Linked DNA regions of Pelodiscus sinensis. The protein of the gene in region 2 purifies or fractionates together with the protein of the main gene of each other region. This does not show direct contact. Links are inferred from orthologs where the notes say so. Each region holds a gene or a part of one and is shown on either strand. Other genes may lie near its edges. The genes, in order: COPE, COPG2, NUDCD1 and COPZ1.

Region 1 (7,499 bases), on a different chromosome or scaffold from region 2:
GAAATGAGACAGACACCCCCAATCAATGCAAGATCATTATTAATGAATCCCCACTGTTTGTGGTACTAACACAATGTGAGAGTGTTAAACAAAACTTTTAAAAGCCACTTTTCACAATGTATGCTATATTTTATTTGCAATTTACTTAAATTCTCAGGGTGTGTCTAGACTACAGGGTTTTGTCGACAAAAGTGGACTTTTGTTGACAAAACTATACCTGCGTCTACACTGCCGCTGAGTTCTGTCAACATAACGTCGACAGAACTCAGCAGTTTTGTCGACGGCGGTAAACCTCATTCTATGAGGAATAACGCTTTTTGTCGACAGAGTTCTGTTGACAGAAGGCGTTACTGCATCTACACTGTCCTTTGCGTCTACCCTGTCATGTCAACAAAGCGTGTCTAGACTACATCCAGTTCTGTCGACAAAGCAAGCCGCTTTGTCGACAGTATCTGTTGACAAAACTTCTGTCAACAAAAGCCTGTAATCTAGACGTATCCTCAGAGGAATATCTGTATTTGTCTGTTATCTGCAAAAATACCAGGGAGCCATGTGGCACCCGAAAACTAACAGATTTATTTGGGCATAATCTTTCATGGGTACAAAAGATTATGCCCAAATAAATCTGTTAGTCTTTACGGTGCTACAGGACTCCTCGTTGTTTTTATGTAAATTGAGTAATCATTTTCATACTGTGATTCACATGAACTATTGAGTGAGCTGGTAAGAGCTTCAGAACAGATCATTCAATTTCTAACCCAGGAAGCCCAATAGGAGAAGTCCGTGGAATGTTTAAAATCCAGCCTTTTAAAAATTATTTGAACTACAAAGCCTTGAGAAGAGAGAAATATGTTCATGACCACACATTCCAAAATTACTCAGGGGTTTTTACTAAGCATGGACTATAGGGGCAGGGCAGAGGGGTTTCAGCCCCAAACTGAAAATTTTCAGAAATACATCAAATGCCTGAAACCAGCCAATAAAAAGGTCAACAAAAACTATTCACGCTCCTCCCTCAAGGCCAACCAACCTGAACGGGCAGATTAACCATGAAGAGAAGAGTTACCTCAGAGGTAAAAATAAGCTGGTAGGGCATACTGGTATGAAAGCGGCTGAAGCATTTAGTACAGGTTAAACTGTAGCAATAAAAAAAAAATCAGATATATCACTTGAATTCATAGATTTTACATTCTCTCAAAACAAAATTGCTCCCCTTCGGCCTTTCCTTGGCAGGTGAAAGGCACTCTCGTGGTTCTGAACATTAGCTTTTGAGTTCCGTTTGCTTCTTATTGGTCAAGTCTGTCACGGCAGGCACATAACTTAGAGTAAGTGGGGAAAAAATGCCGCCTAAGAAAATAAGACATTCAATAAACCCTAAAGGGCCAACGTGCAGCACATTCCTCTCACATCATGGGGGCACAACGAGAAGAGCAAGATCAGCTGTAAGGGCAATCAGAGAATTATAAAACATTTTATTTTAGAGCATCGGTAGTAGTTTTAAGGGCATGTCTACACGGCGGACGTTAAAGTACTGCTGTGCAGCGCTGTAATGTGGCTGTGTAGTTACAGCCCCTGCACCGGGAGAGGGTTCTACCAGTGCTGTGATAAAACCACCTCCACGAAGGGAATAGCTACCAGCACCAGAGCACTGTTTACATGGCCACTTTACAGAACTTACACTTGCATCATCTGGGGGTGTGTGAGTGTGTTTTTTCACACCTCTGAGCAAGGAAAGTTTCAGCGCTGTAAGTGGCAGTGTAAACAAGTTCTCTATATCAAAAGCATGCAAAAGGATCCATCAAGTTAAGTGTGTGGGAGTGGAGAGAAATGGGGTTGCAATATAACCGCAACAGTAAGAAACTGAAGTTACTTTCACTCCTGGATTTCTCCAGTTGCAAAGATGGGGAAATTCAGGCCAAAAAGGTCTAGCAAGTTTATACTGTGCTCATCACAGTGCTAATCAGGGTGGAGGGGATGGGCCCCAAGGTGGTAGGAGAAATCAATGTCAGACCTCAAGAGATGGAGGTGCTAGATTTGAACTCAGAAATCCCTAATCTCAGCTCTGTTCTCACACCGGGCTGTTCTCCACACAGGGCCCATGAGCTCACCTGGGCAATGTAGGCTCGGTATAAGAAGACATCCCGTTCCACCTCCCTTTCTGGACTGGCCAGCTAAAGGAACAAGGGGGAGAAGAAGATTCATTATCCAGCAATATTCGACCCCTGAAATAATGACACAGTACTGAGCCAGGAAGTGACACCCATACCTCAGTGGGGGAAAAGACCCACTGGGGTCAGTGTTGGGGGGGGGGCACACGAAGATGTAATCCATGTAAAAAGAAGAGGGAAGAGTCCCCCGTGCCAGGGGGCACTGGAATTTGATTTGGGTGGGACAAGAGGGGGTGCGAACACCCCCCCCCACAGGGAGGGGCTAGGTGTGAGGGGGATGGGCACACCCCCACAGGGCGGGGCTAGAGGAGGTGTAAAGAGGGGGGATGGGCACACCCCCACAGGGCGGGGCTAGAGGGGATGAGGGAGAGGAAGACCCCGTCACGGGGCGGGGCTAAAGGAGGTGTAAAGAGGGGGGAGGGGCAGAGGGGGGAGGGGGCTAGAGGAGGGGAAGGGGTAGATCCCCCCCACAGGGCGGGGCTAGAGGCGCTGTAGGCAAGGGGGGAGGGGGTTAGGGGAGGTGTAGAGGGGGAGGGGCAGAGGAGGGGAGGGGACTAGAGGGGGGAGGGGGTAGATTCCCCCCCCACAGGGCGGGGCAGGGCGAGGGGGGAGACTGCCCGTCGGGGGGGGGGCAGAGGAGCCCGGGAACCCCGCCCCCCCCCCGCACCTTGACCCGCTGCGCCTCGTTGATGGCGGCCTGGTAGGCGCCGATGTAGAAATTGTTCTTGACGTCGAAGAGCTCGTCCGCGTCCCCCCCCTGCCCGGCCGGGCCCGCCGCCGCCATTTCCCCCAGACCCGGACACGTCTCCGGAAGCCGGGCCGCGCACAGGACGCTGGGGCTCGTAGTTTCCGGCGCACGCTAAGGACGGGGCCAGGGGGCTGCGCGGTAAAACACCGGCACCGGAAGTGGGCGCGGAGCGGGGCGCGCCGGGAGTGGTAGTTTTCCCGGGGGGGGGGGGGGCTGCGAGCGGGGAGCCAATGGGAGCGGGCGGGGCTGGTGACGCGCATGGGCAGCGCCGGAAGTGGGCGCCCGTCGCGTGCGAGGAGCCGGCGCGGCCTCTCCCCGGTGCCATGTCCGGCTTCCGCGCGCTCGGGCTGGCCGCCTGGCTGGCGGAGCAGGCGCAGCAGCTGGGCATGGGCCGCCCCACCGCGGTGCAGGCCGCCTGCGTCCCGCCCATCCTGCAGGGTGAGGGGAGCCCCCCCGGAACCCCCCCCTCGTGACCTCCCCCCCCCCCGGCATCCCCCTCCGGCCCGGCCCCCCCCCGATTCCGGCCCCCCCCCCCGCATCCCCCTCCCTTCCCCCTCGGGACCTGCCCCCCCCCCCGGCATCGCCCGGACCGGCTCCCGCTTCCGCCCCCCCCCCTGCATTCTTCTCGGGACCTGCCCCCCCCCCCGGCATCCCCCTCCGGACCTGCCCCCTCCCTCTCGTTTCTGCCCCCCCCCCCCCGCATTCCCCTTCCTTCCCCCCTCCGGACCTCCCCTCCAGGCCTTCCCCCTCCGCCCCCCCGCATCTCCCCTTATGGGGCTCCCCCCTCCGGACCTGCTCCCTCCCTCCTGCTTCTGGCTCCCTTCCCCCTCCGCCCCTTCCTCCCGGCATCCCCCCTTTCTGGGCTTCTCCCTCCAGACCGCCCCCTCTCTCCACTCTGGGCCCCCCCCGGCATCCACCTACAACCTATGAGGGCCCACCCCCCATTATTCCCTTGTTGGGGTGCCCCATTCTGTCTCTGCCCCACTGGGCACTCCCCCTTCCCTCCCCCCCGCCCCGGCATCTGCCATGGTGGAGCCCCTGGTTCTTTTCCCCTCTCCCCCCCCACTCTGTGTTATCACCTGTGTCTTGGAGTGAAAATGTTCCCTGGCTATCGGGGTCAAGTGGTGGAGGGTTGAAGGGGCTCTCCCGGTTCTGCTCCCCATGCACATTAACCAGGAACCGCTGATCCGCAGGTCGCGACTGCATGGGCTGCGCCAAGACTGGCAGCGGCAAGACGGCTGCATTCGTCCTGCCGATTCTGCAGAAACTCTCTGAGGATCCCTATGGTATATTCTGCCTGGTGCTGACGCCCACACGGTGAGCATGAATCGTGTCTCTGGGTTTTTTTCCACAAACCCCTTTGTCTCCTGAGAGACATGATTCTCGCCATGCCACTCCGTCATCAGAGGAGAAGACAGCTTCATCTGTCACTGCTCCAGCCATGCCTGGTAATGGGATTTTGAGTGTGTGGACCTTTTAGGAATAGCTATATTGACTCATACCAATAGCCCATGTCTAGTGCCTTGGCCCTGACAGCAGCCAGTACTAGATTCAGAGAAAGGTACAAGGGAGGTGGATTGGTATATTCTCCCTCCCCTAAAGTGTTTATGCCGAATATTTAAGCGTTCTCTAGTTTCAATGTTCAGACCAAGACAGGAGATGGGTGCTGTGTCTGAATTGTTCTATATTCTTTAATCTTACCCTGTTATGGCTTTCTGTGGTAAACAAGCCCAGTCTTTTCATTCTCTAGTCGCTGATCTCCTGCCATGTGACTGCAATATAACCACGGCATTCGATCAGATTTTTTTTAACCTGCCAAAGGGCAGCAGATGTTGGGCAAACAACTTTCCTGGTTGCTGCTGCTGTCATTTCCCTGCATTCCTGGTTGTCTGCATCCTGAGCACCGGAGTTTGGAGCAGTGCTGCTCCAGAGTGCCCATCCTGCTAGGACCAAGTCCTGCCAGCGTAACCCTCAATAATTTCTGGATCGCAGGAGAAGGGTTTAACAAGCTGCCTCCGCAATGGTCCCCTTTGCTGGGATCCACTTCTCTTCGTTTAATTCAGCCTCCCCCAAAAGAATTCCCCTCAGGATCAGAGAACTTCTCAGCCCTCGCTGGGGTGGCAGGAGCTTCCTTCTTGGCCTCGGAGGTGCACGACCCTCCTCCTTGGGCTGCATTTGTTAATTCAGGCCAACTGTGGTCTCCAACTAGTTTCCTTTTTACCTTAGTCCTTTTTGCCCTAGATTGGGGGATCTTAACAGCTGCTGGTATCTGGGACCACCACCTTTTCACTGAGCTCTGGGGACCTTGGCAGGCCCAGTACTCACTAGGAAGCTGGTTGTCAGGTACTGCTCACACACGGGCGGATGCTGCTCTTTCCACGTCCAATTTTTCCCTTCTTTTTCTCCACCAGGGAGTTGGCCTATCAGATTGCTGAACAGTTCCGGGTTCTGGGGAAGCCGCTTGGCTTGAAGGACTGCATCATCGTTGGCGGGATGGGTATGTGCGCGCTGGTTAAGAACCGGCCTCTGTGCCAAGACGAGGCGCCGTTCGTTAAGTCTCTCATTCGCTTTAAGGGGGGCTGCTGGGCCGTTTCAGTTCTGAAATCTGTGCCGCGACTGGGGGAGAAGGCGGTTTTAGGGAAACCGCTTTTCCCAAACGTGGAATTGTCTAGTTTCAGGAAAGCCTTATACTCACCTGAAATGGACCAAAATATAGCGATTCTCACCCGTTAACAGATTTCTCTGGATTTAATGTATGGCGGTCCCTTCCCAGCAACGACAAGGGGAGGGCTAAACTAAGGGTTTGTTGCTGGTGTCCTTTATCATTGAGGGGACACTCTGAGCAGACATGGCTGCCAGCTGTGTGATTTGTTGTTCATTAAGAAACAAACAGAAGCCCTCAAGTGCCTCTTAGTGAACTGCCCAGTTAAGCCGCATTTGGGTGCCACTGTGGCCCGGTCTCTCGCTAGGAATGAGGCAGTGTCCTTGTCACGCCTGGTGGGTGAGACTTTCTCCCTTGGACGCTACATTCTTTGCCAGGAAGTTGTTGTGCTCTGCCTAGGGCTACGTCTACACAGAAGAGGAAAGGCAAATGAGTGCGAGATTTGCATTTCCTCTTGCGAAAACCTGCCACAATATAGATGTAGCCTAGGAGGTGTCAGACCGACGCTATCGAGCGTCACTCCAGTTTGCTCAGGCTGGGATTTTCAAACGCGCCTTTGGAAATCCTGCTTTGTGTGTTGTCCCCTCGCAACATTACGTAGCTGGAGAGGGCTGCTGAAAAGGCCGAAATAGCAGATGCGTTTAAGAGAAACCTGTTTCTCACAGTGGTGTCCTGGGTTTCTTCCTCTATGTGGTGCCAGTTTTAGTGTCCAGCCCTGTGAGATGGGGCGTGCCCTGTTCCCCTTGTGGTGGGTGCGACTTAAGGGCACTGAACGTGGTGTAGGATGAGGCTGGCTGCTCGCCCGGGCCCAGGCAGCACATAGCTCAGCCCCCTTGGTGGTGTTGTTCCAGACATGGTGGCCCAGGCTCTGGAGCTCTCCCGAAAGCCTCACGTCGTCATCGCCACGCCTGGAAGGCTGGCCGATCACCTCCGCAGCTCCAACACCTTCAGCCTCAGAAAGATCAAGTTCCTGGTAAGGCAGCTCTTCGGCTGCGGCGGGGGGACCTTGGGCTGGGCCGACGTGCTTGAGTTTTCCATTAGCCGAACAGCCACGTTTCCAGCTGCTGGGGTGTGGAAATGGGCCGGCTTGTCCCAGAAGGGGCCCTGCAAGAGAATGAGTTGATGGCGCGTGTGAGGAGCCCCTCACCATGGTATCAGGGTGCTGACTGACGGAGGGCGCCTGCGTTGGTGGACACAGCCTCTCTGCGCCCAGTCACTCTCCTGCCATCATGCAAAGGCCCCTCTCTTGTCTTGCCTGTCACCTGCCGCGTCAGTCGCACGTCAATCCCTCTGTGTAGTCACCTCGCTGAGTTTGGGGCGGCCACTAGCTATGGTGAAGCATTTGGGGGCTCAAAATCTGTCCGGGGAAACTTGTGTTAGGCCTCATCGCTGTGAAACAGTCTCCCTTGCCCAGTCCTCTGCCATACCTCGGTCATGGCCCCATGTGGCGCTAACACATAACAGCGTGAGATGGATTGCTCTTACACCCAGCTGGCAAGGCGGGGAGGGCTCTCTAGAAACTGAGGCCGAGAGACGGTGATTTCGCCCTGGCCACAGAGTGGGCTTTAGCGCTGGGTTGGGAGGCCAGGAGGCCCTCTGCTAGGGGTTGCCGCTCCTCAGCCTGGCTTGTGCTGCCCGTTGAAGGTTCTGGACGAAGCCGATCGACTGCTGGAGCAGGGCTGTACCGACTTCACCAAGGATCTGGAGGTGATTCTGGGGGCAGTTCCAGCCACCAGGCAGACGCTGCTCTTCAGTGCCACGCTGACGGACACGCTGAACGAGCTGAAGAGCCTCGCCATGAACAAGCCCTTCTTCTGGGAGTCTCAGGCCGAGTAAGTCTCCCCAGGGTGCGACAGAGTCTTGGGCTTCCCCCAGCAGCCAGCGTTCCGGGCGGCGCTCCAGCGGATCGGTGTCTCCCTTC
Region 2 (7,837 bases):
AACTGTTTGAAGGATATGTCTACACAGCCCCTTGGCCAGAGCCCAGTAAGCCAGACTCAACTGGCAGGGGCCAGCTGTAGGTGTCTTACTGCAGCCTACACATATCCCTGGTGTCAATAGCAGCAGGTAATTGACAAGACTTTTGACAGTTTCACTTCTGCATAAGGGCTGAGGATGTGGGTTTTGCCCACGAAAGCTCATGATATTATATATATTTTGTTAGTCTCTAAGGTGCTACAGGACCACCTGCCATTTAAGTGTTTTAAAGTTACAAACTAAGACAGCTATCCCTCAGAAGTAAAATTGGTTAGTCTTATTAGTTCTACTCCTTTGTCCCTCTGAACTTTGCCAAGAAACAACAGCAGCAAGGGAGCTGTGTCTGCAGAATTAAGAGGTGACAGTTCCCTGTTGGAAGATTATTTTCAGAATTACAAGGTCTCAAAGAATTTGCTAAATATAAAATGTAAATTCTGAAAAGACTCCTTGCTTAACTCCTGCAGCCACTCATAAAAGCTTCCCATTCATGAGAAGATTTTTTTGCCCCCGAACACTAGCATATAGTTATCTACATGTCTACTAGGCCATAAAGAAGTTGACACCTTCAAGGATTGGCGTAGCAAACCATCATGCTAATGAGCGGAGAACATAATACTTTAATTAAATTTTATTAGACCCACTTCAGTTGGTGAGATAAGAGCTTTTGTGGCTCAAAAACAAGATGAAACAGATGCCACACTGAGGCCAGATCAACACTAAATGAGGAAGGTTGAATTAAGATACACAATTCCAGCTACATTAATTATGTAGATGGAGTTGATGTACTCTATGCTCCCATTGGCTTCCCTTATTCCTCACAAGGAGCAGGAATACTGTTGACAGGGGGACCCTCTGAGTTTGATTTAGCAGGTCTTTACCAGACCCATTAAATCAAACTCCAGAAGATCAATTGCAACAGTGTTGATCTTCTCTGTAGTAAAGATGTGGCCTCAGAATACCTTACCTGATGAAAAGCTCCATGTGGCTCAAAAACTTGTCTCTCTCACCAACAGAAGTGGTTCCAATAAAAGAGCATGTCCTTCTTGTCTCCATAATATCCCGGGACCAACACAGCTGCCTACTTGCCCCACAGAAGTGACACCACACCAAAAATGTGACAATAGCTTTATCTGGAACACTGAATGTGCTTTTAAATTCATTATGAAAGAAACTGAACTGTGCTGTTCCCCCAGCCCAACACGCTGGGGTGGGCGCGTGCATAGGCCACGCTAGATCTGACCATTGGTCCATCGAGCCCCGCACCGGTGTTCCCTGTAAGCGGCTTGTGCGGCAGCTCAGGAGAGTCCAGTGCCTCCCCGCTGGCTGGCAGAGCGGCCCATGGCTAGGTCTGTGTTTCCACTGATGGTGCACGGGCGCAGGTAAAATTATTCCACACATTGGATGGAAAACGGCAGGCACATTACCCAGCCTCCCACCCCCAACAGTCACCAGAGGAAGGGCGCAGAACAGGGCCACGGATGAAGCCTCCCTCCTGCTGCCAGGCCTGAAGCCCAGCTGCCTCCACCGGGCAGCCCAGAAACAGACTGAACCAGCTCCCACTGCTCCCGCCCACAGCCAGAGGGGCAGGGTCACCCCGCAGCCAAGCCCCCCAGGAGCAGTCAGGGCTGTGCCCCCCACAACAGTGCAGAGCGGGGGGGGGCTGGGTAGAAACACCCCCCCCACGCCCTTACGTGTAGTCCAGCCCCCCCCCCCGAACCGACTGGTCCGGCCCCTTGGCCCCCCCCCTCACAGAACCGACTGGTCCGGCCCCTTCGCCCCCCCCCCTCACAGAACCGACTGGTCCGGCCCCTTCGCCCCCCCCCTCCCAGAACCGACTGGTCCGGCCCCTTCGCCCCCCCCCTCCCAGAACCGACTGGTCCGGCCCCTTCGCCCCCCCCCTCCCAGAACCGACTGGTCCGGCCCCTTCGCCCCTCCCCCTCCCAGAACCGACTGGTCCGGCCCCTTCGCCCCTCCCCCTCCCAGAACCGACTGGTCCGGCCCCTTCGCCCCTCCCCCTCCCAGAACCGACTGGTCCGGCCCCTTCGCCCCCCCCCTCACAGAACCGACTGGTCCGGCCCCCTCGCCCCTCCCCCCTCACAGAACCGACTGGTCCGGCCCCTTCGCCCCTCCCCCACAGAACCGACTGGTCCGGCCCCTTCGCCCCCCCCCCCCCACAGAACCGACTGGTCCGGCCCCTTCGCCCCCCCCCCCTCACAGAACCCACTGGTCCGGCCCCCTCGCCCCCCCCCTCACAGAACCGACTGGTCCGGCCCCCTCGCCCCCCCCCTCACAGAACCCACTGGTCCGGCCCCTTCGCCCCCCCCCTCACAGAACCCACTGGTCCGGCCCCTTCGCCCCCCCCCCCACAGAACCGACTGGTCCGGCCCCTTCGCCCCCCCCTCCCAGAACCGACTGGTCCGGCCCCCTCGCCCCCCCCTCCCAGAACCGACTGGTCCGGCCCCCTCGCCCCTCCCTCCCAGAACCGACTGGTCCGGCCCCCTCGCCCCCCCCCACAGAACCGACTGGTCCGGCCCCCTCGCCCCCCCCTCCCAGAACCGACTGGTCCGGCCCCCTCGCCCCCCCCCCACAGAACCGACTGGTCCGGCCCCTTCGCCCCCCCCTCCCAGAACCGACTGGTCCGGCCCCCTCGCCCCTCCCCCCCACAGAACCGACTGGTCCGGCCCCCTCGCCCCTCCCCCCCACAGAACCGACTGGTCCGGCCCCCTCGCCCCTCCCAGCGGGGGCGGCAGGCGGGCCGGGCTCTGCCTGGCGGGCCTGCCCGGAGCGGGAAGGGGCGGAGACCCCGCCCGGGCCGCGCCCCTCCCCCCCGTACCGGTCTCCTCGTCCTTCTTGTCGAACTTCTTAATCATCTCGGGGCCGCTCGCTTCCCTCAGAGCCGCCGCAGCCGGGAAAGAGCGCCCGCCGGAAGGCCCGCCCCAAACCCGGCAGCGCACCCTACGATTGGCCCGCCGGCCCGCCATTCACCAGGAAGCCACGCCCCCCCCTCGGCCTGCCCCGGCTTGACGCCGTGTTCCACGCCCCCTTCCAGCCTAGCCGCGGCCTTCCACATCCGGGACACGCCCCCTTGGCTCTCCGGGTGGGAGCGGCTCCCATTTAAAGGGACAGCGCCCCTGGCTGGGAGCAGCGTCTCCTCTCCCGATTCGCTTCCGCGCCGCAAGGGGCTGGCCACGTGCGTTTGAATAGGCTCTGCACCGTTAGGAGCAGGAGTGTAACCAGAAGTTTAGGTGAAACAAAAGACAGGACTACGGAATATTCATTATCCCCAAGATAATCATTATCTAAGATAATTAGATTGTTTATTGTTTTGATTATTTGATTATTTATTGTTAATCTAATTATCTCATAAATATCTTACAATAAATAATCAAATAATCAAAACAATAAAGAATCTAATTATCTTACCCATTACAAAGGTAGCTTCCCCATTTATCACCTCTAATATCATTAGCTCACAGACATTTACCTGCCCCCGCATTCCCCTTCTGTTCTGAAATTTGATTTGTCCTTTTCATATGTGTTCATTTTTTTTTAATTGTATCCTTTGGTATATATGGTTGTGACAATTTTCTTCCACTATTTGATCTGAGGAAGTGGGTCTGGCCCACGAAAGCTCATCACCTAATAAACCATCTTAATCTTTAAAGTGCTACATGGTCCTGTATTTTGTTTCAGCTACACCAGACTAACACGGCTACATTTCTATCATGATAAGTTTAGGAAACGTCACAATAATTATAAAATAGTGTCCATTGTTTCTAAGATGAATGGCTGCAGAATGAATGCTGAGTCTTGGGGATAATGAATATTCCGTAGTCCTGGGTGGGAGGCGTCGCAAAGGGTAGAGCCTCTGAAACCATCACTTGCTCCTTTGCACACAGCTGTACACGTGCTGGTCACTTGACAGAGATGCCCTCCATGTGGTCTTCCCAGCACCGCCCCCTCCCTATCCCGCCCCTTCACTGGACTGCTCACGTGGGAAAGGGTCAGCACGACTGGTCTGTTCTACTCATAAAACTGTGGTCAATCTAGCTCTGTTGGTCAGAGTTGTGAAAAATGTCACTGCCTTTGCAACATCTTGTAACCACAACCAGGTGGATTTGAACCTGGGCCTCTGGAGTTTAGTAGAGGAGCCTCTACCTTTTGAGCTAAAAATCTAGCTACCTCTCAAGCCATACTGTAGAGCAGTGGTCTCCAACCTTTTTACACCCAAGATCACTTTTTAAATCTCAGAACAGGCGAAGATCTACCGCTCCGCCCCTTCCTTGAAGCCCCTCCCCTTCTTTGAAGCCCCGCCCTCTCTATTCTCCTCCTGTCCATCACTTGCTATCCCCAGCCCTTACTTACACACTCTGATAAACAGTTTATTTTTAAATTATGCGATACATACAATTAAAATCACATACTATTAAAATCACGTGTTTATAGTTTTGAAATAAATGGTCTGTTTTTTATTCATGCTTTTTAAATCTAAAATGAAGCATTTATAATTATACATTTTGTGGGGACGGAGTACTGTGGCTGGGAGCAGGGGAGAGGGAACAGGGTGCTGGGAGGGCAGAGGACAGGATTCTGCAGCAGGGGACAGAGTGCCAGTGGGGACAGAGTTCGGGGAGTGGGGACGGGAGTGGGGACAGAGTTCGGGGAGTGGAGACGCGAATGGGGACAGAATTCGGGGAGTGGAGACGCGAATGGGGACAGAATTCAGGGAGTGGGGACGCGAATGGGGACAGAATTCGGGGAGTGGGGACGCGAATGGGGACAGAATTCGGGGAGTGGAGACGCGAATGGGGACAGAATTCGGGGAGTGGGGACGCGAATGGGGACAGAATTCGGGGAGTGGGGACGCGAATGGGGACAGAATTCAGGGAGTGGGGACAGTTCTGTAGCTGGGGACAGAATTCGGGGAGTGGGGACAGGAATGGGGACAGCATTCTGTAGTTGAGGACAGGGGAGTGGGGACAGGGGAGTGGGATGCCAGTGGAGGCAGAGAGTCTCCTGCATCTCCCTCCTCCCAGCATTCCCCCCCTCCGGAAACCAGCGTGTGCCTGCCCCGGGGCCAACCCCCCCCCCCCCCAGAGAAGCCCTGCGCGTGCACCTGCCCAGGACGCCAATCCCCCCACCCGCGCAAGGAAGCCCCACATGTGCGTGCCTGCCCCAGGGCCAAACCCCCCCCGTGCAGGAAAGCCTCGCGCGCACCTGCCCAGAGGGCCGACCCCCCCACCCGCGCAGGGAAGCCCCGCGTGCGCACGCCTGCCCCGGGGCAAACTCCCCCCTCCACGCAGGGAAGCCCCGCGGGTGCTTGTCCCGGCGCCAACCCCCTCCCCGCGCCGGGAAGCCCCGGGGCCAAACCCCAGCGCTCCAGAAGCCGACACTACCTCCGTCTTCTCTGGAGGTAAGTAGTGGGGCTTCTGGGGGGTGGGAGGGAAATGGGGGCGGGGCTTACAGGACGCCTCGTGAGCGACTGGTTGAGGCCTCGAGATCGACCAGTAGCTCGCGAGAGACCGGTTGGTGACCACGGCTGTAGAGGTCTCTTATGCTTATCTGTTGCTGTGGTCTAGGTGCCACTGCATGAGATGGTGAACCACACTAATGCTTTGTCTTCACTGTGAGTTCTTCCGGCAGAAACTATGTTAATGAGGGTCTGATTAGCATAAGTCATAATCTCATTTGCATATTTTCTGCCAATCCATTTTTGCGCTACGAGCTTTTGCGCAAAAATAAGCAGTGTGGACGTTTTATTTTTGCGCAAAAACCCTTTTTTGCGCAAGTTCCTTATGCCTCAAAAAAGGAGGTATACCGATCTTGTCCCAGCAGATCGGAGCGTCTTCTAAGCAGTATCTAGTCGAGCCGTGCTTGTGCAGCAGGTGTCTCACACGGCCGGCAGTTTGACAGTCGAGCGCTGCCCGACCCTCTCCCCTCAGTTCCTCATCTACCACAGAGAATCATAGAATCATAGAATACTAGGAATGGAAGGGACCTCGAAAGGTCATCGAGTCCAGTCCCCTGCCATCATGGCTGGACCAAATACTGTCTAGACCATCCCTGATAGACATTTATCTAACCTGCTCTCAAATATCTCCAGAGATGGGGATTCCACAACCTCCCTGGGCAATTTATTCCAGTGTTTGACCACCCTGACAGTTAGGAACTTTTTCCTAATGTCCAACCTAAACCTCCCTTGCTGCAGTTTAAGCCCATTGCTTCTTGTCCTATCCTCAGAGGCCAAGATGAACAAGTTTTCTCCCTCCTCCTTATGACACCCTTTTAGATACCTGAAAACGGCTATCATGTCCCCCCTCAATCTTCTCTTTTGTAAACTAAACAAACCCAATTCTTACAGCCTTTCTTCATAGGTCATGTTCTCTAGACCTTTAAATTCTTGTTGCTCTTCTCTGGACCCTCTCCAATTTCTCCACGTCTTTCTTGAAATGCGGTGTCCAGAACTGGACACAATACTCCATCTGAAGCCTAACCAGTGCAGAGTAGAGCAGAAGAATGACTTCTAGTGTCTTCCTCACAACACATCTGTTAATACATCCCAGAACCATGTTTGCTTTTTTTGCAACAGCATCACACTGCTGACTCATATTCAGCTTGTGGTCCACTATAATCCCTAGATCCCTTTCTGCTGTACTGCTTCCTAGACAGTCGCTTCCCATTCTGTATGTGTGAAACTGATTGTTCCTTCCTAAGTGGAGAACTTTACATTTGTCTTTATTAAACTTCATCCTGTTTACCTCAGACCATTTCTCCAATTTGTCCAGGTCATTTTGAATTATGACCCTATCCTCCAGATTAGTTGCAACCCCTCCCAGCTTGGTATCATCTGCAAACTTAATAAGCATACTTTCTATGCCAATATCGAAATCGTTGATGAAGATATTGAACAGAGCCGGTCCCAAAACTTAGCCCTGTGGAACCCCACTTGTTATACCTTTCCAACAGGATTGTGAACCATTAATAACTACTCTCTGAGTACGGTTATCCAGCCAGTTATGCACTCACCTTATAGTAGCCCCATCTAAGTTGTATTTGCCTAAATCATTGATAAAAACATCATGCAAGACCATATCAAACGCCTTACTAAAGTCTAGGTATACCATATCCACCGCTTCTCCCTTATCCACAAGACTCGTTATCCTATCAAAGAAAGCTATCAGATTGGTTTGACATGATTTATTCTTTACAAATCCATGCTGGCTGTTCCCTATCACCTTGCCACCTCCCAAGTGTTTACAGATGATTTCCTTACTTACTTGCTCCATTATCTTCTCTAGCACAGAAGTTAAACTAACTGGTCTGTAGTTTGCTGGGTTGTTCTTATTTCCCTTTTTATAAATGGGCACTATATTTGACCTTTTCCAGTAGTCTGGAATCTCTCCTGTCTCCCATGATTTTCCAAAGATGATAGCTAGAGGCTCAGATACCTCCTCTTTCAGCTCCTTGTGTATTCTAGGATGCATTTCATCAGGCCCTGGTGACTTGCAGGCATTTAACTTTTCTAGGTGATTTTTCACTTGTTCTTTTTTTATTTTATCTTCTAAACCTCCCCCCTTCCCACTAGCATTCACTATGTTGGGCGTTCCTTCAAACTTCTCGGTGAAGACCGAAACAAAGAAGTCATTAAGCATCTCTGCCATTTCCAAATTTCCCGTTACTGCTTCTCCCTCCTCACTGACCAATGGGGCTCCCCTGTCCTTGGTCTTCCTCTTGCTTCTAATGTATTTATAAAAAGTCGTCTTGTTTCCCTTTATTTCCGTAGCTAGTCTGAGCTCATTTT
Region 3 (7,889 bases), on a different chromosome or scaffold from region 2:
GGGGGGGAGGGAACGCAGGTAGTGCGCCCTCCCCCCTCCAGCAGACCAGGCTTTTGTTGCAGGACGCCTGGGGTAGAGCAGCTGGGGTGCTGCCGGGTTGGTCCTACGGGGACCTATCCTGCAGCGCCCCAGCTGTTCTGTCCCAGGAGTCCAGATTCAGCCGCTGTTGAAACTGATCAGCGGCTGATTCCAGGAATCCGGGGGCAGAGCAACTCTGCCTAGGGCTTCCTGTAGTCAGCCGCTGATCAGTTTCAGCAGCAGCTGAATCTGGAGCCAGTTCCGACTTACATACAAATTCAACTTAAGAACAAACCTATAGTCCCTATGTTGTACGTAACCCAGGGACTGCCTGTACAGTAAAACTCTGATGGTCTGGGATCTGTTGGTCCGGCACTCCTGATGGTCTGGCACCATCAGGAACCCGGAAGTGCTCCAGGCAGCCGGACCATTGGAGCTGCTATGCCCCCAGCTTCCCCGATTCAGCTGCTGCTAAAACTGACCAGCGGCTGACTCCAGGAAGCCCGAGGCAGAGCTGCTCTGCCCCAGGCTTCCTGGAATCAGCCCCGATCAGTTTCAGCGGCGGCTGACTTGGGTACACCTGGGACAGAGCAGCTGGGGTGCTGCCTGGTTGGTCTCGCAGCGCCACGGGTTGGCGCTACCAGCCGCTGTTGAAACGGACCAGCAGCTGACTCCAGGAAGCCATGGGCAGAGCAGCTCTGCCTCAGGCTTCCTGGAGTCAGCCGCTGATCAGTATCAGCAGCGGCTGACTTGGGGACACCTGGGGCAGAGAAGCTGGGGTGCTGCCGGGTTGGTCCAGTAGCGCCGAGGAGTGGCGCTGCGGGACCAACCCAGCAGCACCCCAGCTGCTCTGCCCCAGGCGTCCCCAATTCAGCTGCTGCTGAAACTGACCAGCAGCGGCTGAATCAGGGACGCCTGGGGCAGAGCCAGACTATTGGAAGGGGGGGCTATGAGGGGTTTGAGGTGGCATTCCCCCCACCCCAGAACCCTTATAGTCCCCCCTTCCGATAGTCCGGCAAAACTAATAATCCGGCACCCTCTGGGTCCTAAAGGTGCCGTATTATCGGAAGTTTACTGTATTCACTGCTGATGACTCAGTCAAACTGTATACAATAATCTTTGCTTCCTGAATAACTAGTGTTTTCTGCACTTTCATCTTCATTTCAGAAAACTGGTAAAAAGAGAAAAACTCACAGCTCTTAAAGTTGTGTGCAGTAGTATTGTAGCCATGTTAGTCTCAAGATATTTTAGTCTATGGGTGGGCAAGATACTATCTTTTGTTGGATCTACTTCTGTTGGTGAGAAAAATCTACTGAACTTAGGCTGTGTCTACACTTTTCAAAGTGCAGCCACACCAGCGTTTTGAACTAAAAGTGTGGCCACAGAAGGAGCATTCTCCTAAGGCACATCTAGAGTACATCCCTCTGTTGGCAGACCAGAAAAGCTCAAAGTAAGCTCAAAAGTCCCTGGAAAAATCATGGAGGGGATCCTCAAGGAATCCATTTTGAGGCACTTGGAAGAGGGGAAGGTGATCAAAAATGGTCAGTGTGGATTCATGAAGGGCAAGTTGTGCCTGACCAACCAGAATGGCTTCTATGATGAGATAACTGGCTCTGGGGAGATGGGGAAGTCAGTGGATGTGATATACCTTGACTTTAGCAAGGCTTTTGATACGCTCTCCCACAATATTCTTGCCAGCAAGTTAAGAGAATGTGGATTGGCTAAATGGACAGTAAGATGGATAGAAAGCTGGCTGGAAGGTTGGGCCCAGCGGGTAGTGATCAATGGCTCGATGTCAGGATGGCGGTCAGTTTCTAGTGGAGTGCCCTAAGGTTCGGTTCTGGGACCAGTTTTGTTCAACATCTTTATTAATAACCTGGATGAGGGGATGGATTGCACCCTAGGCAAGTTTGAGGATTACACTAAGCTAGGGGGAGAGGTAGATACACTTGAGGACAGAGATAGAGTCCAGAGTGACTTAGACAAATTGGAGGATTGGGCCACAAGAAATCTGATGAGGTTCAACAAGGACAAGTGTAGAGTCCTGCACTTGGGACGGAAGAATTCCAGCACTGTTACAAGCTGGGGATCAACTGGCTAAGTCGCAGTTCTGTAGAAAAGGACCTGGGGATTACAGAGGATGAGAAGCTGGACATGAATCAACAGTGTACCCTTATAGCCAAGAAGGCTAATGGCATAGTAGATTGCATTAAGAGGAGCATTGCCAGTCGATCCAGAGATGTGATTATTCCTCTTTACTTGGCTCTGGTGAGGTCACGTCTGGAGTATTGTATCACATCTGGAGTATCCAGTTCTGGGCCCCCAATTGCAGGAAGGATGTGGATGCACTGGAGGTTCCAGTGGAGGGCAACCAAAATGATTAGGTGGCTGGAGCATATGACCTATGAGGAGAGGTTGAGGGAGTTGGGTCTATTTAGTCTGCAGAAGAGAAGAGTGAGGGAGGATTTGATAGCATCCTTCAACTTCCTGAAGGGAGGTTCCAAAGAGGCTGGAGAAAGGATGTTCACAGTAGTGATGGATGGCAGAACAAGGAACAATGGTCTGAAGTTGCAGTGGGAGAGGTCCAAGTTGGATATTAGGAAAAACTATTTCACTAGGAGGGTGGCGAAGCACTGGAATAGGTTACCTAGGGAAATAGTGGAGTCTCCATTCTTTGGCTATGTGTACACTGGCGGGTTCTTGTGCAAGAACATCATCCACACTTCCACGTGCGTGCTGTGCTTTTGCGCAAGAGCTCCCATGGCAGTGTGGACGCTCTCTTGCGCAAGAAAGCTCTGATGGCCATTTTAGCCATAGGGATTTCTTGCGCAAGAAATCCCTGCCAAGCGTCCACACTGCCCTCTTGTGCAAGAGCTCCTGCGCAAGAGGGCTTACACCTGATAAAAAAGAGCATAACTCTTGTGCAAGGAGCCCTCTCTTACCATGCCATACTGTAAATTTCCTTGCTCAAGAGCGGGCGGGCAGTGTGGACGCTCTGCAGATTCTTGCGCAACAACGGCCGTACTTGCGCAAGAAGCCAAAGCCACGAGCGTAGACATAGCCCTAGAGTTTTTTAAGTCTCGGCTGGGTTGATGTAATTGGGATTGGTCCTGACTTGGGCAGGGGGCTGTACTTGATGGCCTTCTAAGGTCTCTTCCAGCTCTATGGTTCTATGATTCTATGAAAAGCTTGTCTCCATCACCAACAGAAGACGGCCTAGTACAAGTACAATCTCAGAGTTATGAACACCTCAGGAATAGAGCTATTTGTAATTTTGAACATTATATTTGTTCTTTCGAAAGTTTACAACTGAACATTGACTTAACACAGCTTTGAAACGTCACTATTCAGAAGACAAATGCTGCTTTTAGCCATCTTAATTTAAATCAAACAAGAACAGAAAAAGTACTCTTACATTTTCAGTTTTTAAAACTGCCTGTTTTAGTAGTTTAACACCAGGGGTGGGGAACCTCAGGGCTGGATGCAGCCCTCAGCGTGCCTAGATCCAGCCCCTGAGGATCATTCCCCCACCCCCGCCCAGCATTGGGGAACCCATACTGGTACTCCAGCCCCCACTGGTACTCCACAAAATCTACTAGGCTAGGCCCCCACCAGGCTCTGGTGTGTGAATGGAATGTGGGGAGTGTCTTCTCCTCAGTTGGGGGCCACAGTGAAGGTTCCCCCCCACACACTTCTCACTTGGGTATCCCCCCCAACAGAAAACTGATTTTTCTGTGGGTCATTGGCCCCGACCTAAAAAAGGTTCCCCACACCTGATTTAACACTGTACTGCATTTCCTTTTTTTTTTTTTTGGGGGGGGGGGCGGTAATCTGTTGCTGCCTGACACGTCAGTCCATAACTGTGGTTCTAATGTAAAAGATACTATCTCATCCACCTTGTCTCCCTACAGTTCTTAAATTCATGGCTGTAATTAGATTACGCCAGATATTTTGATGAAGCTATGTAGAAGTTTTTGCTGCCTGTGTTAATTTAGTAGTTTAATGTTGATAAAAGGATCAACACAACTGACTCGAGCCACTTCACATCTATCACCTAACCTGGAGATCTGGTACTTCAGCCCAGACTTGATTGAGGAACGGCTGCTCACTGCCCTGAACTACAGAGTGGTGCAAGTCCAGGCTCAGATAAGAGACTGGGGGGGGGCAAACAAATCCGGCCACGCTTGCGTCAGTCACACCGAGCGGCTGCCTCTCTCCTCCCCGTGTAATGGAGCCACAGCCCGGCAAAGCGGGGCTGATACGATAACGTCGCAGGCGCTGCATTTCAGGAAACGTTTTTAACCAGAGGCCCCCGCAACCCGTCGAGCCTCTGCCGGAGCAAGGGCGCAATTCCACCGCAGCCCGCCCGCCCGAATGGAACTCCTCAGCCAGCGAGCCCACCCCGGCCTGCTCTCAGCCCCCCCCCCCCACCGGGCAATAACCAGCCCCGCTCCGCCAGCCTAGTGACCACGCCCCCTTCCCCGGCCTGGGAGACCGGCCTGAGGAGCGCCCGGCCCGCCAGGGCAGCATGGGGCCACACCACGGGGGAGCTCGGGCCTGGGCCCAGAGCCGGGAATGGGGGCGGGGATTTCAAGCCGAGTCCCGCGGCTCCCCGCCCGCCCCTGACCCCTCCTGGAGAGAGCAACTCCGGACCCCCGGACTCACCCCCGCGGCGGCGCGCTCAGCTCTGTAGGAGAAGAAAGCGACGCAGTCTCCCAGGGAGAATCCAGCACGGCCAAGCCCCTGCCCGCCTCTTCGCGCAGGGAACCCTGGGAAATGGAGTGCACGACGCGCTTTCCCTCGCTCGGTTTAAAAACTACAACGCCCAGCATGCTTCACGATCGGGGCGCTAGGCGGCTCGCTCTCCGTGCGGCATACAACTCCCAACATGCTCGGCGACTGGCCCGAGCAGCCCCTCGCGGCCAGAGCCCTAAAACTACCATTCCCATGGTGCTCCGCGGACTGCACGCTAGTTACCTTCTCCAGTGGCTTCTCCCTGCTTCCTCACAGCCTCCTTCCAAACTTTTCGCCGTTAGGCGGCAACTCCCGGCGCGAGCGACGGCGATGGAAGCGGCGGCCAACTGCTCCCTGCGGGTGAACCGGCAGCTCTTGGATCCCAAGTTCGAGGGCTACAAGCTGTCCCTGGAGCCGCTGGCCTGCTACCAACTGGGGCTGGACTCGGGTGAGGGGCGCTGCGGAAACGTGGCGGCGGGGCAGCAGCGTTTGGGGGGCGCGCGGGAAGGGTTTGTTCGGGCTCCTGGGGGGGGGGGGGGAGGCTGCTTGTGGCCGGGGAGCCCCGGGGCGGCAGGTTTGTGGGTGCTGCCAGGGCCAGGTCGCTAGTGTTTGCTTGGCTGAAGCCTCTCCGCCGCGGGTTGCTTTGCTATGTCCCGGCTGCTGGCCTCCGGGCAGAGGCGGCTGCCCATCCCAGTGGGGTAAAATTATTCAAGCCCCAGGTGCCTGGCAGGCTGTGGTTGTGCTCCCCTACAGGGCTGGGTAAATATTCTCCGGATCATTGGGAAACAACATTCCCTCCCCTGCCGTGCAAGGCCAAGCCTGACTGGTAACTGTTCCAGGTTTTGGTGCATTCTGGTCTACACTAGGGATAAGTTCAGATTAAGATTTGCAACTCGCGCTAGGTCAATTGCTTCGCAGGAGTTGACTTATCTTAATACGAGCTTTGGCTCTGTCCACATAGTGGGAGGTCACCGAGAGAAATGCTTCTCTCGACTTGCCTTACTCCTCACAGGAGCACCCTTAGCGTTCAAGTTAGCCAGTCTTTACTAGGTTTGCTAAATCGAATGCCAGAAGATCACTCTCCTGAGCCTTAATTAATGGGTAAGTATAGACAAGGCCCTGGAGCCATGTGTGCAGTATGGGCTAAGAATGTGTAAATTTAACCATGTAAACAGTTAACCAGTAACTCTGGATTTATCAGTTAATATTCACACGTGCATGCAGACTCCTGTGGTAGCTGGCTCCGCAGGAGTGGGGCTGCAGGTGGGAGCTGGTGTGCCTTGGGAGGCGTCTTAAGCTGACTCCCAGCACACACCACCTGCCAGGGAGCTGACTGTCACCCCACATGTAACCGTGTAACCATTTTTTTAGCAGTTACATAGTTAATTAAATGCATTTTAACATTTCTAATACAGACAGAGGTTGCCTTTGTCAGTCTGGGCTGGGATCCTTGACTGATATATGTGAGCAGCAGACTCTAGTGTAGGCCTGCGCTTTCTCCAGAGTCCCTGTAAGTCTTCAAGAAAAACTTTTGAGTGGTTTTGAGGGTTTTATATTTTAGCATTGGATCTTTAAAATATTTAATTAACGCATAGTTGTCGTTTTAACACGCCTCACTCTCCTCATACACCTTCATCAGTAATATAGTGATGTCCTTGTAGGTGAGCCTTCAATTCCATCTTTTATGTCGACCTCTTTTTAATAGGTGTCCTGATGAATTTCAAGCCTGCAGATTTTTCTGGTTTTTGGAAAGGCAGAGCAGCCCATTTTCTTCCTTCCCATTCTGAGACTTTTCCCAAACTCTCGTGGGTAGAAGTTTTACTCTAGTGTCTGTCGTTGTAGCCTAAGGCCAGGTCTACTCTAAACCCGGCAACTCAACTTAAGGTACGCAACTCTAGCTACATAGAATATGCTCCCATTAGCTTCTCTTGCGCCTTGCAAAAGGAGGAGTGCCAGTGGGGCACTTTAGTTAAGACTTGCTAAATCGAACTCCGGAAGATGGATCGTGGCAGTGACAATCTTCCTTTTAGTGTAGACAAATCCTGAAAAATGTATGAACAGCCATAGGTGAAATTTACATGTTCTTTATTAGTTTCAAAGCTGCTCAGGGAACAGAAGCTCTGAAACTGGCTTTGGGGCCTTTTCACTCTTGCTTCTTGGGAAAATTACAAGAAACAGCAGAGATACGGGAATTGCCTGTATGCAGACCATAGTATTGCTAACCATAAGTGTTTATAACTCATAAGCTACAGCTCAAAGTAACAAGGTTAGCTTAAAAATTCATGAGATGTAAAACAATGGGGGTTCTTTTGATTAGCCTTTTAGTTTTTTGTGCCTTTAGAGTGCACATTTTAAAGCTTTGTCTTTGCAGCTGTTAGAGATATCCTTTCTCCTTTTTCAAAATGAAAACTGAGATTTTCATGTAAAGTTGATATAAGATGGAGCTTTAAGAAAAACATTGGATGTTATGGGAGTTGGGATCAAATCATAAAAATTAGCATCCCTGCACTCTCCAAGAGGTGACTACACCCAGTTTTGATGACACAAACTTCTTCTGTGGAGGTGGAAGTTTTTATCTTCCCTTCCCTTTATTGTCAACCAGTCATGTAGTGTATGCTACAATAGGTTTTTTGTTGAGTTTATTGACCTCTAGCATGTTTTCCTCAGTGACCAATTAGCCACTGTGGCCAGTACTTTGAACTCTGCTGCTCTGCAGCCAGATAAACAGATGCATCCCTCCCAACTGCAAATCCTGGGAATTAAAAAAAAATCTATTTCCTGGTGTCTGGCTCGTTGTATAGTGGTCCTCATGGCATCTTCTCAGTGAGCCAGTGGTGGGTAGTGATAGAAATGTAGCCGTGTTAGTCTGGGGTAGTTGAAGCAAAATGCAGGACAATGTAGCACTTTAAAGACTAACAAGATGGTTTATTAGATGATGAGCTTTCGTGGGCCAGACCCACTTCCTCAGATCAAATAGTGGAAGAAAGTAGTCACAACCATATATACCAAAGGATACAATTAAAAAAAATGAACAAATATGAAAAGGACAAATCACATTGCAGAACAGGAGGGGGATGCGGGGGGGGGGGGGAAGGAAGGAAGGTAAGTGTCTGTGAATTGATGATATTAGAGGTAGG
Region 4 (7,341 bases), on a different chromosome or scaffold from region 2:
CGCTCCAGCCCGCTGGTCCCCCGGCCACGCCACTCCCCCGGCCACGTATCTGCTCCAGCCCGCTGGTCCCCCGGCCACGCCACTCCCCCGGCCACGTATCCGCTCCAGCCCGCTGGTCCCCCGGCCACGTATCCGCTCCAGCCCACTGCTCCCCCGGCCACGTATCCGCTCCAGCCACGCTGCTCCCCCGGCCACGTATCCGCTCCAGCCCACTGCTCCCCCGGTCACGTATCCGCTCCAGCCACGCTGCTCCCCCGGCCACGTATCCGCTCCAGCCACGCTGCTCCCCCGGCCACGTATCCGCTCCAGCCCACTGCTCCCCCGGCCACGTATCCGCTCCAGCCCACTGCTCCCCCGGCCACGTATCCGCTCCAGCCCACTGCTCCCCCGGCCACGTATCCGCTCCAGCCACGCTGCTCCCCCGGCCACGTATCCGCTCCAGCCACGCTGCTCCCCGGGCCACACACCTGCTCCCTGCCTGCTGCTTTGTCCTGCTCCCCTCAGCCACACCCCCCCTCCAGCCACGCTGCTCTTCACACCAGACCACACAGGCCTTTCTTTTCTCCCCCGCCCCTCTCCTGGGATCCCCCCCTTCCCTCACCTCCTCGTACACGAGCCACTGGCCCCACTCCTCCCAGTACACCTGCCACTCCACGGGGAAGTAGGGGTTGCGGCTGGGGTCGCTGGTGTTGGAGAGGCGCCGGACGCGGTCGTAGAGCTGGTGGGGCGTCAGCTCCATGGAGTTGAGGTCGAGGGTCCAGGACGAGCCTGGCCTGGGGGGGAAGCAGGAGAGCTGTCACTGAGGGACACCCCCCCCCCCCACGCTGGCAGCGAGCATCTGGGCGACGCACCCACCTCTCCCGCCTGCCGGGCCACGTCCCCCCAGCCACCTACTTGTCCAGCAGCTGCACCTCGCGGTGGCTGGGGCTGCAGTAGAGCTTCTCCAGGAGCTGCTGGGCGGCGGGGCCCACGCTGAGCCACACCCCGTCCGCCTGGCGCCGCACCTGCCAGTGGAAGGGCTTGGGGGTGTGGTGGCGCAGGCAGCGGCCCCCCGCCGGGCACTGCCCCAGCAGGAAGTCATCGCAGATCAGGACGCCGTCTCGCTGGTGGACGTGGACCTCCTCCGGGCCGGCCAACTCCAGCACCTGCCCGCCCCGGCCCAGCCCCTGGGGCTCCGGCGCGAGCAGCAGGGGGTGCTGGGCCAAGCCGAGACGGCGGCGCTTGGGCTTCTCCGCCATCAGGGTCAGGCCCTAAGGGGGGGAGAATCAGGCCAGAGCTGGGGCCAGACTGGGTCTGGGGTTCAGCTTTCTGGGGGGCCACAGGCTGGCAGGGCGCTGGAAGGATCTGAAGGGGGATGCTACCCCCAAGGTCAGGGAACTGGTCCGGGGGGTGGGTCAGTGTTGGCCCCGACTCTGGAGCAGCTCACGCCTGATCATGGGAGGACTCCCCTAGGATTCCAGCACCGGGGGTAGGGGAATCACCCCCAATTTGCAGATGGGGAAATTGAGGCTCCGGGCCAAGGCAGGGGCTCGGCCAGCAGATCCGTGGTGGGGCTGGCAGAGGAACCCAGGTGTCCTGCGAGCCAGTCCCCTGGCCTGGCCTCCTGCCCCTCTTTCCCCCGTGCTCGGCTTATTATAGAGGGAAGCTGCCCCGATTCTCCAATCTGCAGTCCCCCCCAAAGCCGAGTCCCCCAGAGCCCCAGCGACTGGGACCACAGAGGTGAGGCCGGGGGCACAGAGCCAGCACTGCCCGGCTGCCAGGCTCCTGGGGCATTGACTCGGGGGGGGGCATGGGTCCCGGAGGCAGACAGACCGTCTCCTCCCCCACCCCTCCTCCCCATCACTCACCTCCTCTGCTGCCGGACAGGGCTCTTGCTTTTGCTTTTGCTTTGCTGAGTCACGGGTCCGCGGTGGAGAAGCCCAATCAGCCTGCCACCTGCGCAGGGCCCAGGGGCTGGGGTTTCCCCCGGCTCCCGGCCCTCCCCCCCCCCTCGCAGGGTTGCAGTGAGACCAGTCGGGGCCCGGCCCAACGCCCCACAACAGGGCAGGGCAGGCTGGGAATGGACGCCTTGCCCCCAGGAGCAGCCAGTGAGCCGGTGGTAAAGCAAGACAGAGAACCCCAGCTCCCCTCTAACTCCCTACACCCCAGCCCCTCCCCAGAGCCAGCAAGAGAAGCCAGGAGACCTGCCCCCCCCCCCCCACGTCCCGCCTCCCCATGGGCACCGCCAGGAAATACAAACACGACCTTGGCACAGCGTCTGCCTGGCCCAGCTCCACTTTCTCTTTCAGTTCCGCTCCCTGCACCACGCTGCCCGTGGCACACGGAGCCCAAGGGGGGGGCAGGACCAGCTGCACAGAGTGGCACCTCCTTGGGGGGATGTTGTGGGGAGTGGCCCTGCGGGGGGGGGGGTTGCTTTTGCTCTTCCCAGGGTGTAACCGGAGTGTGGCTTGGTCTCTCACTGCCCCCACCTGCTGCCGTCCAACCAGGCATAGGCCGGAGCCAGGCCTGAGACAGGATTCAGCGGATTTCCAGGAGGGGTGAGAGGTCTCTCAGTGCACAGGGCATCTCCAGTTCATCCCTGGCCTCTGCTCTATGCACCCCCCGCCCATGTCACTGCCGCCCCAGACCAAACCCAGTCAGCCAGCTGAGCCACGCCTCGGCTGCACCAGCTAGCCCAGAGCTGGAGCAGTCCCAGGATGGCGTCCCACCGCACGGCTGCAGCCAGGGAAGAATCCTAGGAGGGGAAGGGACCTTGAGACGTCAAGTCCAGTCCCCCGCCCTCACGGCAGGACCCAGCACCGTCTAGATCATCCCTGGCAGGCGTCTGTCCACTCTGCTCTTAGATATCTCCAGGGAGGGAGATTCCACGACCTCCCCAGGCAACTGATTCCAGCGTTTCACCCCCCGGACAGGTGGGAAGATTTTCCTCATGTCCGACCTCAACCTCCCTGGCTGCAGAGCCTTATTTGTTAAGGAACAAAATAAAGTGCCGGTGACCATAATAATAAAAGAAATCCGTCTCCGGCACAGCGAGAAGATCCGCCCGGCTGCAGAGTCTAGCTTCCCCTCTGGGCCTTATTGCTCCTTCTGTGCACGGCTGCTCCGCCCAGCCCCCTTTCAGAGGGGTTCACCCCTGTAGCCAGGGAGCCAGACTGGATTTCCTCTGAGTCCCGAGGGGCAGCCTGGCCTGTCATACGCTTTCTGCCCCTCTCTGCCGGGTGCTCCACACAGCTCGGCTTCCTCTAGCAGAGCCCACCTCTTGTTACCTCCTTCTTTCCGAACCTCTTTCCAACTGCCTCCTCCCCAGCTGAGCCCCCGTCCCTCGGCTTCAGGAGCTGCCCTCTCGCTAGGGGCGGGGTCCCTCTCCCCAGGCAGCGTTGTCTGCTGCTGCATCACAGCTGCAGGGCCCAGCACTCCCCCTCTTGCTCCAAAGTGCAGCAGAAGCTGGAGCTGGGGCAAGTGTAACCCCCGGGAGGGGGGGGGGGATTTCACACTTTTCCCCTCGTGACCCAGTTTGGAAAAAATTGCGGATGCGCGTGACCCAACGTAGTGTGGCTGGGGCCGAGGTGGGGAGCTTTGTGGGGCAGGAGGGGACTCCACTCCCACGGGCCGGGAACCCGCTGCCGGCTGCGTCTGGGGCGCAGCCCGGTGTGAGGGGCCAGGCGGAGCAGGACGCTGCCTCAGCCCCCGGTGCACTGCAGACAGGCAGCAGGTTCCCGGCCGGCGGGAGTGCGGGGCGAGTGCTCGGGGCAGGGAGCCCCGTGTGCTCCCCCCACCCCAGGAGCCAGGCCAGGCCGGGGGCTGCCTTAGCCCCCCGCTCTCCGGACCCCTGCAGCCCGGGCGACGCTCCTCAGCCCAAGGCCCTGGGCCCTGCTGGGGGGTGTCGGGGCGCGGGTCAGGGGCCCCCCCCCATGCCTGGGCCATGTGCCCCCGTGGGGCTAGCGGGGAAACTGAGGCACGGGGTGGGGGGGGTGACATATGGAGGTCACATGGGTGCACACCCCCAGGGGGAGCCATTGGCCTGCGGGGGGGAGGGGAATGACTGGCCCCGCCCACCAGCATGACTCCTCCCCCTGCCCTCAGGGTCATGACCCCCATGAAGGCGGGTCGGGGCTGCTTCCGGTCATGTGACGTGCCGGCGAGGGGCCTGACGTCACCGCTTCGCTGGTCGCCGTGGGAACTAGCCCGCCCTCCCGGCGCTGCGGCGGGGGCGGAGCGAGTGACCGACAGGGGCGCCTTCCAATCGCCGAACACGCTCTCCGAGGGCGGTGGGGCGGGGCCCAGCGGGCCCCGCCCACTTATTGGAAGCCACTTTCTGGTTGGCTGGCCGGGATAGGGTCGCCAGCCAATGAGCAGTTAGAATGCGGAAGGGGGCGGGGCCCCGAGCTGCGATTGGCGGGCGAGTAACCAATGGCGCGCGGCCCCTGTCGCTCCGGCTCCACGTAGGCATCGCGGAGGGCAAGATGGAGGCGCTGATCCTGGTAGGAGCGGGCCGGGGGAGCGGGCGCCGCCGGGGGGGGCTGAAGGGGGAGGGGCACAGCCCCGGGGGGGGAGATTGGGGAGGGGTCGCTGCTGATGGGGGAGGGGCACAGCCCCGAGGGGGGGAGATGGGGGGAGGGGCACAGCCCTGGGGGGGGGAGATGGGGGGAGGGGTCGCTGCTGAAGGGGGAGGGGCACAGCCCCGGGGGGGGGGGAGATGGGGGGAGGGGTCGCTGCTGATGGGGGAGGGGCACAGCCCCGGGGGGGAGAGATGGGGGGAGGGGTCGCTGCTGATGGGGGAGGGGCACAGCCCCGGGGGGGGGGAGATGGGGGGAGGGGTCGCTGCTGATGGGGGAGGGGCACAGCCCCGGGGGGGGGGAGATGGGGGGAGGGGTCGCTGCTGATGGGGGAGGGGCACAGCCCCGGGGGGGGGGGAGATGGGGGGAGGGGTCGCTGCTGATGGGGGAGGGGCACAGCCCCGGGGGGGGGGGAGATGGAGGGAGGGGCAGGGCTGATGGGGGAGGGGCAGCTCTGTTAAACCCTTCAGGGCAGCTCTGGTCTGGGGAGGGATCCGTGGGGCTGGAGCCAGGGTTGGGGGATGAATCTAGGGGAGTGAAAACCTCTGTGGGCTTTGTGTGTCTGGGCCAGCAGCTGTTCGAGGGCCGGGAAGGTGAACCTGCCATGTCTTGGCGCAGAAACATCCCCGGCCTCAAGCTTTTATTACCTTGTACCCCAGAGCCCAGCCGTCCGGAGGGTTGTTCTGAAGGGTGAAGTCGTTCTGTGGGTACGATTCCTTCCCAGCCAAGTAGCCGGCTGGGTGATCCGGGAAGCCCTGCTACTTGCTTGCCCGTATTTTTTGTTGGCGAGTCAGGGCTCCTGGCTTCTGTTCCCAGCTCTGCCACTGGCCAGCTGCTGGACGTGACGTCCCTGCCTCAGTTTCCGCTGCTGTCGCCATCTTTCTTTGTAAAGCGGTCGGAGGCCTACTGAGGCTGCCGACACCTGGTCTAAAGTGCCCTTCTGTCTTGCTGCCCGCAGCTCCCTGCCTCTCTCCTTTGTCTGCAGACAGATTCCCTAGTCGCCTTTGCTGCTAATAATACTAAAGTCCGAGCCACAGTGCTTGGCTGCGTGCATCTCTCCTCTGGCCCCGTGCCCTAGTTCGGGTCCTGGCAGCGAGAACCGGCTGTGGCACAGCTACTGTTTGCGTGCTGGACGGCCGAGCGCCCGCTTGCATTGGCTGAAGTCTCATTTATTGACACGTTTGAATGACACCGTCAGCCCCGTGTGTGCCCCAACGCGGGGCGTCTTGTTGGCTTGACACGGCCCTCGGCCCAAACCAAAAGCCTCCAGAGAGACCAGGCCGCAGCGTCCCGCCCGCCGGGCCCTCTGCCCCAGAAGCGCGTGTTACAGCTTTAAAACGTGGGTTGCTTCGCTGTGCTCCGCAGTGCAGCCTGGCTCCGGAGCCGTGTAAAATCCTCTGGCTTTCTCTGCCGGGCTTGCGTCTCCTTTCCGCGCAGAGGGGCTGGGAGGGGGAGAGGCAGCGCTTTTCCCTCTAGCTTGCCAGGCTACTGAGAGTTACAAGCCAGGTGCCAAAGAAGCTTGTGGCTTTTCAAGCTGCTTCCTTTGGATTGTGTAGCCCTGCCCTCCGGGTCGGTCCCCTTCGCCGCCTCTAGAGAGGCTGGGTCCAGTTGAGGGTGAGCCGTCTGGGGGGCAGGGCTTGGAGGGGAACCTAGATCTGCAGGGCTGCCCATCCAGCTGAGCCCCGCCTTGGAGGGGAATCTCCGGACCGGGACGGGATGCAGTTACGGGCCGGCGTGGGCTTGAATAAAGCAAAGTGCGTCTGCAAATCCCATCCGGCCACGTTGATTCTGTGCGCTGGTTAGTGGAGGAAGGGCAGTTTAACCCCTCACGCGCTGGGGGGGATTAAGCGAATTCGGAGTAAGGCCCCCTTAGCCCGGAGCGAGAGCGTCCACACGCTGCGTTAATGGGATTGACTCCCCATGGTGACAAGCCCAGAAGAGTCACTGGTCACTTGCGGTGCTGTCCGGGGGGGCAGCGGGTGCCTGGTGCCTCTGAGCATTGGGCCTCAGGTTGTGCGCCCCCCAGTCAGACCCTTAGGGTGCCCCACAAAAGGAGGACCCTCCCCCCATGGCTTGGTTGCTCCTGGCAGGTTCAGCCCGTGGTTTGGATTCGGGGCTGGGGCTGAGCCCGGCTTTCTGACGGGGCCCTTCCTGAGGGCAGGGGCCGCAGGATCTGGCCCATTCCCTGCCGCCTCGGCCGTGCTTGGCTCCGGGGGGAGCCCCCTCCCGAGAAGCCAGGCTCCTGTCCTCTCCCCCTGCCCCTGGAGACACAAGGAGGAGCCACTCTGGGGAGGGGCCCTTGGGGTCGCAGAGACGGGGCCCTGCCATGCTGTGCCCCAGGGAAGCCAGTCGGGGGCCCGATCCTGGACTGTGCTGGGCACTGGCGGCCTCGATGGAGGGCAGAGGGCATCCCGGGCGATTGGCTGCATGTGGGGCAGGCCCTGGCAGCCTCCCCCAGGGGCCGGTTCTCCTTGGCAGAGTCTCAGCTGCAGGGGAGGTTACCGGGCCCCGCTGGGAAGTGCCTTGCCCGCCCCTGACCCACAGGCGGGTGGGTTCCTGCCCCGTGGCCTGGCCGGGGGCCTGGGGGGCCCGTGCCCCGATGCGGAGCCGCAGCGTTTGAGGTGAAGTTCTGTGTTACACTCCGGCCGTGGCTACGAGGGGTCAGTGCATCACAGAACTTTGTCTCGAGAGCTTCTTAGCGTCTGTCTCCTGGGCCCCCCACCCCCTCGCGTGCTCTGCAGCCCTCGCCGGGGGGGTCCTGGCCCACGGGGGCTCTGCCGCAGGC

What was found.
Region 1: the proteins of COPG2 (region 2) and COPE purify together in Homo sapiens (affinity purification with mass spectrometry; 5 studies listed by BioGRID and IntAct, with this or other methods). This does not show direct contact. The link is inferred for Pelodiscus sinensis from reciprocal best matches to the Homo sapiens genes COPG2 and COPE.
Region 3: the proteins of COPG2 (region 2) and NUDCD1 purify together in Homo sapiens (co-immunoprecipitation; 3 studies listed by BioGRID and IntAct, with this or other methods). This does not show direct contact. The link is inferred for Pelodiscus sinensis from reciprocal best matches to the Homo sapiens genes COPG2 and NUDCD1.
Region 4: the proteins of COPG2 (region 2) and COPZ1 fractionate together in Homo sapiens (co-fractionation; 5 studies listed by BioGRID and IntAct, with this or other methods). This does not show direct contact. The link is inferred for Pelodiscus sinensis from reciprocal best matches to the Homo sapiens genes COPG2 and COPZ1.

The regions. Positions count from the first base shown.
Region 1 is NC_134729.1:19,360,054-19,367,552, reverse strand, and holds the start of COPE (coatomer subunit epsilon), read right to left. Parts: upstream 3,002-7,499; 5' UTR 2,953-3,001; coding exon 2,836-2,952; intron 2,172-2,835; coding exon 2,109-2,171; intron 1-2,108. Other genes in the region: putative ATP-dependent RNA helicase DDX49, read left to right, coding at 3,240-3,354, 4,110-4,233, 5,328-5,413, 6,430-6,551, 7,223-7,410. UniProt on the Homo sapiens protein: The coatomer is a cytosolic protein complex that binds to dilysine motifs and reversibly associates with Golgi non-clathrin-coated vesicles, which further mediate biosynthetic protein transport from the ER, via the Golgi up to the trans Golgi network.
Region 2 is NC_134711.1:3,627,603-3,635,439, reverse strand, and holds the start of COPG2 (coatomer subunit gamma-2), read right to left. Parts: upstream 3,007-7,837; 5' UTR 2,907-3,006; coding exon 2,870-2,906; intron 1-2,869. UniProt on the Homo sapiens protein: The coatomer is a cytosolic protein complex that binds to dilysine motifs and reversibly associates with Golgi non-clathrin-coated vesicles, which further mediate biosynthetic protein transport from the ER, via the Golgi up to the trans Golgi network.
Region 3 is NC_134712.1:29,337,176-29,345,064, forward strand, and holds the start of NUDCD1 (nudC domain-containing protein 1), read left to right. Parts: upstream 1-4,876; 5' UTR 4,877-4,965; coding exon 4,966-5,200; intron 5,201-7,889.
Region 4 is NC_134729.1:1,253,847-1,261,187, forward strand, and holds the start of COPZ1 (coatomer subunit zeta-1), read left to right. Parts: upstream 1-4,339; 5' UTR 4,340-4,361; coding exon 4,362-4,481; intron 4,482-7,341. Other genes in the region: protein mono-ADP-ribosyltransferase TIPARP-like, read right to left, coding at 602-773, 895-1,250, 2,245-2,490. UniProt on the Homo sapiens protein: The coatomer is a cytosolic protein complex that binds to dilysine motifs and reversibly associates with Golgi non-clathrin-coated vesicles, which further mediate biosynthetic protein transport from the ER, via the Golgi up to the trans Golgi network.